2 linked regions of the Kluyveromyces lactis genome follow. The protein of the gene in region 2 interacts with the protein of the main gene of each other region in a pairwise test. Links are inferred from orthologs where the notes say so. Each region holds a gene or a part of one and is shown on either strand. Other genes may lie near its edges.

Region 1 (4,283 bases), on a different chromosome or scaffold from region 2:
GAAATGGCTTCACGACAGGTATGTAACTTTTGTTAATCACGAAGCCAGAACTCTTGTCAAGTGATGTAGTAGATGGTTTCTTTCTTTTCCGTTTTGATTCGGAAGAAATGTCTTCTGTTAACATATGTTTTTCACGATCTTGGCGTAAAATTGAAATAATTGGATCAGATAATTTCACCATAGAAAAGTCAGGATTTACAGTGATGGACGCATTAGGAGCAACAGTAGGCGTTTCAAATTCTATGTTTATCGAGAACTCACCATTTGGCATCAGTTTTCTTATGACTGACGGACTGGCATATGGAACTATTTGTTGTTTCACTTGTATTTCAGTTATCTGTGGTTTGTTTTCAGTTACAAGCACCTGTGCTTGTTTGGTTGTAATGGCAGATTTTGAAGATTTCTTCATATGTGCCTCGGATATTAGCTGTTCTTGTAACGCTCTTTCCTTTTGTCTCTTGAATTTAATCTCTTCTTTCCTCTTGATCTGAGCCTCTATGCGAGAAATGTAGCCCATGAGACTTTCTTCAAGGTTCACTGGTTTGATTGAATTCAAATCTATTAACTTTTTAACAGATTTATTCATTTGTGCTTGAGAAGATAAAGTGTTTCTCTTCATTTTTAATAGCTTTTCGGGATTATCTGTCGCTGCGTAGCGCTGTTTAGTGATTGATTCCGTATCTATCACTAGTTCCCAGTCCAGATTTTTTGAAAAGGCCTGATTAGTGGAACAACAAATTGCCTGTTCGTCATTATCCTCCAGTAAGTCCTTTATCGCACCCTGGACCGATGAAGAACTACTACCATAAAGTTGTCTTAAAACATCGATAGGAGATGACCATCTAATACCGTAACGCCTCCACATCCTTGCACATCTTATACAAAGGGCATTCAGTTTCTCATTATCTTTTTCAACCTGTTTGGCTTTCTCGCTATCACTACCTGAAACTTTTTCATTTACTCCGGTCGTAAGTCTTCTATGAATGTGATCATCCTCTGACCCACCAGTAACCCTATACCATAATGGTGAATAATCTAAAGAACAAAACATGCATTGGAAGCATTTTTTTACATCTGATATTTGTTCAGAGTCAAAAGAAGAGTCATCAATGTGTTTCAAAAGTTGTGTCGATTGTGCTTTCTTTTTCGGTATCCTTTTAGAATTTTTATCACCTTTATCGGAACTAGACTTCTTGTTAGTTGAATCATCAATACTTTGCTTCTTTCTGTTCTTCGCTCTGCCCTTAAAATTTCCCCAGATTCTTCTCCCATTCGGAGTCTTTTTCCAGTAATAATAATAGCGAACAATCATTGACATTGATTGCGTTCCAACATGCTTACAAACAGGGTGTAATTCGCTTCCATATAAACTAACCCCCTCTTCGAATTTCTTAATTTCTTCTTGTGATAATGTTGGCTCCTTCAACGATTCTCTAGTTATAATCTCGGTTGCTTTAAGGAAAGAAATTTCGGAGTTATAATCATTTTGCATTAATAGCTTGAGGATTATGTCGATGAAGTTACAAGCTTCTGGTTGAACTTCGAGATTGCCAGGAATTGTACTCTTACACCTTTTAACATATTCGTCTAATTCGCTCTCTGCCATTTTTTCATTATTAACAATCCAAAGGCCTTCCACAGAAGCAGAAGTCCCTCGTTCTCCAGGTTTATTGCTGTACGGATCTTCCACCCATTGTTGATTACAATTACTCCATTGGCCCTTTTGTAAACTTACTCTACTTTTTTTCCATGGGAATGGTGCGATATAGTCGTCAAATAATGGATCACCTAAATGATTGCACATGTCTTCTCCCAGATACTGGAACCACCAATTTTCTCTGTTTGTATTGAAATCTCTGATAGAAGCCAAACTTTCTGTTAGCCTTTCAACCGAACTTTCTATTCCTTCCCATTCTTTGTCCCTCGTGATGTGCTCTTGGTTGTTCTGCTTTCCGACACAATTTGAACAAATCCAAACCACACCTTTTGCCGGCTTCTTTTCTAAGGGCGGGTCCATGCACCACAGATGAATCGATATCTTACAGTCATCACACTTGATAGAAGACGATTGGTGGCACCAATCGCGACATTCGCCGCAACGCAAATCCCAGCTTTGGTCTTCGGTTCTTTTGCCACAGACATATTTGGTAAGTAGGTTATCCAGTGGGAATTTATCCTCATAGAAAATGAATGGGAATTTACTAGTTAAAATCTTGAAATACGGTAGATCAGAAGCAACTCGCACAGCCATCTGATCTGTTTTTTCCATTTGGTAATACTTTAGTGTATATCTATCGAAAAGTTGGTTGAAGTAGAAACAATTGGGTCTTGAGACGTATTCTGTTAGCTGATCAATTGAGGTAAATTCTTTTTGAAATTTGACATTACATTTACCACGGAATGAGTAAATTGGGCAAACATCATTATGAAGTGAAGCGTATAGCATTCTGGAGCTTGTACTATTTGTTCTTTCCTGGATATCTCTGGGTCTATAGTACCAATTCATTTTTAACTGAAAATAAATCGCAGGGAAACTAGTTGCCAAGTGTAATGAACGCGATATGAGTGAACGAAACTCCTTTTTCGGCACAAACTCAACTATCCTACCAATATAGTAGGGTTCTCCAGGTGGTTCTGATACCATAAATATGTGCTCATCTTTTTTCAAGACAGCCGATCCGTCAGATAGTAGCAATTGCTTAGAAACGTCAACGGTCATCTCATCGATATCCAACATGGTACTGAACCTTGCGTATTTCTTGAATGAGTTAGGTAGAGAAGGAATGAAATTCCACGGCGTGTTCTTGTCTTGCAAGAACGACTGATACTTGAAACTACTCTTCTGTGACTTCTTTCCATTGTTCGCCTTCTTCTGAATGCCATTCTTCTTTATAGTTTCACCCTTTTCAGACTTCTGTTTCGAAGAGTTCGCCTTCTCTAATTGTTTAATCTTCTTCGCCAACGCAATGTCGGCTTCCTTCTCATTATAACTCACATTCTTGGTCGCAGTTCGCCTACGACTTGTGTACTCATTGCCATTTGAAATTATTATCTCATCTGGCGAATTTTGTCCTGAGACGACAGTCATCACTAGCCGGAAGTAAGCTGATGCAAATTGCTGTTAAATATCACAAGTGAATATCAATTCTTCAAATGCAACACTTTTGCTAGCAACTCCGGATGTATCCTGTATTCCCTTTTGCACTATTTCTCTCTTGGTATGTTGTTGCTCCTCCTCATATTGAATCCATATTCATATCCTGCATATAGCGTTTTTATATACATCTTTCGATATTGAAAATAATTGGAAAGCATTTTACAATTACTGAACCAGATGAAAATACGTAATAAGGTAAACAGCAATAGATTAAGGCAGCCTGAACTTAATGAACCAAGGCAATTGATATTGCATACGTGTGTTTTGACTGTCCTTTTTTTTGCCTAAGTTTATAACTTAATTGCCATGGACAATAACAGAGTTGCACCAGAGATTCCTGGTCTAAGACAACCCGGACAAATTACTAATGATATTCGAATGTTGATGTGTAAGCTACTCAATTCAGCGAAACCCGCTAATACCTTTCCGGGCTCTCAACCTGTTTCTTTCCATCTGGCTGATATTGAGGAGAAGTTACTTGCGCAAGACTATTACGTATGTGAAAAGACAGATGGATTGCGTGCGTTAATGTTGATAATGGTGAATCCAGTTACAAAAGAGCAAGGGTGTTTTATGATTGACCGTGAAAACAACTACTATATGGTCAATGGATTTAGATTTCCATGTTTGCCCCGTGCCAATAAAAAAGAACTCCTAGAGACTTTGCAGGACGGTACGTTAATTGATGGTGAACTTGTCATGCAAACTAATCCAGTGACCAAGTTGAAGGAACTGAGGTACTTGATGTTCGACTGCCTTGCGGTAAATGGTCGTTCGTTAGTTCAATCGCCTACAAGTTCCCGTTTGGCTCATCTTGGCAAAGAGTTTTTCAAACCTTATTACGATTTAAGATCGTATTTTCCAGATAGATGTTCCACTTTCCCATTCAAAATTTCAATGAAACATATGAATTTCAGTTATGATTTGGCAAAAGTTGCAAAGACCTTGGATTCACTTCCACACGTATCTGATGGTCTAATTTTCACTCCAGTACAAGCGGCATATCATATTGGTGGTAAAGATAGCTACCTTTTGAAATGGAAACCAGAAGTAGAAAATACTGTGGATTTCAAACTGATCATTGAACCTCCTGTAGTAGAAGACAAATCTTTACCTAAAAGCGATA
Region 2 (4,503 bases):
AAAAGTACTCTTCCGAGCAAATGGGATTTGAAACGAGCCAGGGCTCTCGTCAACAACAAGGTGGACTAGGTAGCCAAGGTCTCTCTGGTCAGAAAGCTGGAAATGCCCATATTCCTGGCACACCTTCTGGTGCAAGAACTGAAGACTACACTTCCAGAACTAATCCCGGTTCTGGGGCAACCGGTGGTCAAAGAAACAACCAGTTCTCTAATGATAACTGGTAAATTAGAAATGACGAAATGATTTGAAAAGTTTATATTCACCAACACATTTCAGTTTAAAATGCTGTTTTATGATGCAGTCTGCTCTCATTTTGAATCTAAAATGTTATTGCCTTAACGACGAGTTTTTTTCTTAACAGCATGGTTGGATTGTTGAACAATGTAACCATGCAGTTCTCGCTGCTTTTTTTTTTTTTTATCTCCAGCGATTCCTTTCAAGGGATAAGGTCTCAAAGTTCCTTGTAGTTCGTTTTTATTTTATATCTATTATTTTAAATATACATCATGACTTGACTGATTTTATATTAAAGTAATGAAATATTGTCTATACTAGGGCTCACTTCCTCAGCTGCTGAACATTAATTGCCAAACTGAAGCAGTTTTGACAATATCATTGTAATTTCTGGATTTTCCAACGCACATGTGATTGTTGTTCATTGCGATCCTGTGGTTCTGTACTGTTATTATGGGTATCACTAGTTGAAAAATGGAAATACCTTGCGGTATAGTCAGGCAGTGCTAATAATCTTCTCATAGTGTCTGCGAAATTGTATATTCTAGTTTCCTCATTGTTTTCGGACTCTGTCACTCCATGAAATTCTGTCATATCTTACAGGACCATATGCTTACTAAGGATTGATCAAACCACGACAACAACTCCACACAGCTGAAATTTGTATAATGATTCTTTTCCGCGCGAGGAAAATGCATCATGCTCACTTATATACTTCTATTCTTACCTAGCACATTGTGTCTTTTTGACGTTTTCGGTGTCGATACTTAAGAAACTGACGTTCCTTGCTTATAGAAAACAAGAAATGGCATGCAAACGATTTGAAGCTTGCATATAAAGGGCCTATGATAATCTCACAAGCTCCTATATCCGGTTTGAATTTTGTTTAAAGACCGTGACTAGTACAGTTCGGAGTTGCAGGAGAAATGACCCGTCACACAAGTTAAAACCTTAAAATTTGGAAACGGTAAATTGTACTTTTGCTAAGTGTACAATTGTTTGCACAATATTCAGAAGGATAAGCAGAGCATGCTACATATTTAATTTATAACTACTATAATCCTTCTATATGCTAAAAAGACCATCGAAACTTAGCCTGCCAGAAATGTGCAACTCCCGTAAGGTTTTAAGCCTATGTGGAGGTTGTGAACGACATCATTTCTTCCTAAATTAGTCATTATACAAGCGTCATCTCATTATCTCATATATCGAAAAGTCTTTTATACCACGTGATATCAATGTTAATTTCGACAACATGAATTGGCGCTACAATACGAAGCGAAATTTGAGGATGAGGTGAAACATAACATCAAGAACTTTCAGTTATTGGCCATAGTAAGATAGTGTTTCGCTTGACCTTCTCAACCAATGGGAATCCAAATCGATTTTGTACAAAGACTAGGATTTTGCAACAAATTGAAACGATTTACTTCCTCTTAGTCATGGAGCATAAACAGATTTCCTCACTGCCAAGTAATTCTGTTTCGTTATTATTGAATCCAGCTCAAACGACCATATCGTACGCCAATGACGAAAGAAAACACGTAATAGATAAGGGAGAAACCTCCAGTCATTCTACCACTTCTAAAAATAAGTTTACTACCAATTCAGTCGCAGAAGCGCTGATACCGAAAATCCCAGTGCCCGACCAGTTTGAAAACAACCATTCCAAGACGACTCTTCCGAGGAAAGTTATAGACGGTCAATCAGCCTCTACTTCTTTCACACAAAATAACAACTCTCACAACCCATATTTGTATACGCAACACAGGACGAGATCTAATGCACCTTTCGATCCACTCCAAATTCATTGTGGAAAGGTTATCAATAATGCCAGGGTTGTGAGTGAGGGTACCATATCAGGAATTCATTATACAGTTCAAGAGGGATCGATCCCTACTATCACGGTCAAGGGAAACACGGATGATTTTCCCACGCCATTTGAACTTTATAGAATAATGGAACCACTTGGCAAACAATTCGGTGCTGTCAAGATTGACTTTAATCATTGTGATAACTCACCCTTCAATGCCTTTAATTTGGACACAGAGAACTTTTGGTTCAAGCCTAGAAAGCAGCATACAAACTCATATGATGTAGAACTACAGAAAAGACTCAAGCTCCACCATGATTTATACTGCTTTCATAAGGGAAAAAAAGATATAAAGGGAAATCCAACACTAGGCAAAATTCCAAGTATAGACAAGAGGACGTTAGATTTACACAGGCTACGATCCTGTGTTCAACTGAGAGGGGGCTTCGACACTGTTTGCCAAAAAAAGTTATGGGCCCAAATAGGAAGAGAACTTGGATACTCAGGAAGGATTATGAGCTCTTTATCAACGTCTTTAAGATCTGCCTACCTTAAAGTGTTTTCTGAATTTGATGCTTATGAAAGACAACATAAGCAAGCAGCAAGCCACCAGGTGATAAGCAGTGATATGTCCATACAACAAAACAGCTTTTACAATACTATGAAAAGAACTCTAGAAGAAGATCATCGTGATGCCCTCAATCCTAACCAACAGACAGGTCCACCTGTAAAGATAGCACATATTGAAAATAGAATAAACAATGAGTTCGGTGGTTCCGGTAAGGAGTATTTTAGAATGAGAGATATACTAGATGCAAAAGGGTTTACGACTAGATTTGGATCTGTCACTGAGCAGAAAGTTGGATTGACAGATGCCAATGAGTCTACACTACCTGGTTACAATTTTAGTCTATGGAACAATCAACTAGAGATATATGACAAATCTATGTACGAGTGGAAGAACTCGCCTATCTACAATTTGAGACAATATCACGAGAAAGCTGAACGACATCGTGAAATTGTCAATTCAACAGTAGAGGAATTATTTCCACACCTTTCTCATGTTGGAAAAGAAATATCACTACTTGATTTTGAAAGGCTGTATTATACAATTTTGAAAGAGGAGTCCTTGTCATTCGATGTTGATACAGGGATAGATTTGCCTACGATAGTGCATGGAAGCACTTTCTCAACATCGAAGATGGCGAGTTCCGACGAAACGAAACGTCTTATAGATGCCTGGAATTTAAATACAATAAACCTTTCTGAAAAATCCCTCCTTCAATACCAAGATCTCGATTTTGGAAACCTGGCAGGTGGTAAAATTGATGTAGGCATGATGCTCTCTACTTCTGGTTGGGCTCTAGAAGACGAATTCTTACCCTTACTTGATTTTTCCTATTTGGGATCATCGAAAGTATGGTATTTTGTCCCTCCTCAGTATCGAAATTCTCTTGAGGCCCTTTTTGATGATATACGTAATAAAAAAGAAGTGAAATCTTCTGATCAGTTTGAAGCGGACTTCACTGAGTCAGATTTCTTTCAGAGCTTTCAAGAAACTAACTTTTTGGATCAACATAAAACTTCTCGCAAAAGAAGCATTAATCATATGTTTCTGAAAAATTTAGTCCAAGATAAGCATAATTCTTATACACCCAATGACTTTCAAATCTCAACTTCTGAACTCTCAGCTTCTCATATCAGATATTTCAAAGTTATTCAAGATCCGAAGACATTTATTATGAAATATCCACAAGTCTATTCAACTTCAATTAGTTCAGGATTTCAAATATCAGAAAAATCTTTGTTTGCCCCTGAAGAATGGGTGAACAATATTCCCGACGCTGAATTATGGAGAGCTGAGAATAAACTTCTACCCTCTATTCTTCCCTTCCAGTTTTTTGTTAATATCGTTGAAAGCTCGAATGATAGAGATCTCTTAAAAAGAGTTACGCCATTGTTGATGAATCTAATTAAGGATGAATTGCATTTTAGATCTTTAGTGCCACATCATATACCCCGTGTCTCTAATAAATTCGATCCAATATCTGACATAGATCTTTCTCCCTGTGGTGGGTCAAAGATTGTTATTGCTAATGATTTCGATTGTGTGACCATTTCAGTCAAACAATTCCTCGAGCTGGAAAAGAAACTTATCGATCTAGGGGACTCAAAAGTTGAGCTGCATGAGTATTATTCAGAATCTTATTTAAAAGGACTGATTTCAAGATTTAGCAACGAGAACCTACAAACACAAACTGCCACGGATCGTGAACCGTCATTGTTAAGAAGGATAGAATCACTGAAAGCTGAAACCAATAATGACTCTAAAATTACCTTTAATGAGTTGAACAGATTACTATTGACTTGTGAAGATGGGAACAACGAAGAATACCTGCCATTGAAGGAGGTTATCAAAGAATCTCAAAGAATCATGAATGAATGCCAAGATATAC

Evidence for each region.
Region 1: the proteins of ECM5 (region 2) and SNT2 interact in binary tests that used the Saccharomyces cerevisiae proteins (3 or more experiments, as listed by UniProt). The link is inferred for Kluyveromyces lactis from reciprocal best matches to the Saccharomyces cerevisiae genes ECM5 and SNT2.

The regions. Positions count from the first base shown.
Region 1 is NC_006038.1:192,878-197,160, forward strand, and holds the start of SNT2 (DNA-binding E3 ubiquitin-protein ligase SNT2), read right to left. Parts: upstream 3,089-4,283; coding exon 1-3,088. Other genes in the region: CEG1 (mRNA guanylyltransferase), read left to right, coding at 3,464-4,283. UniProt on the Saccharomyces cerevisiae protein: Transcriptional regulator that, together with ECM5, recruits histone deacetylase RPD3 to a small number of promoters of stress-response genes in response to oxidative stress.
Region 2 is NC_006039.1:1,415,707-1,420,209, reverse strand, and holds the start of ECM5 (Ecm5p), read left to right. Parts: upstream 1-1,676; coding exon 1,677-4,503. Other genes in the region: KLLA0_C16225g (uncharacterized protein), read left to right, coding at 1-224. UniProt on the Saccharomyces cerevisiae protein: May be involved in cell wall organization and biogenesis.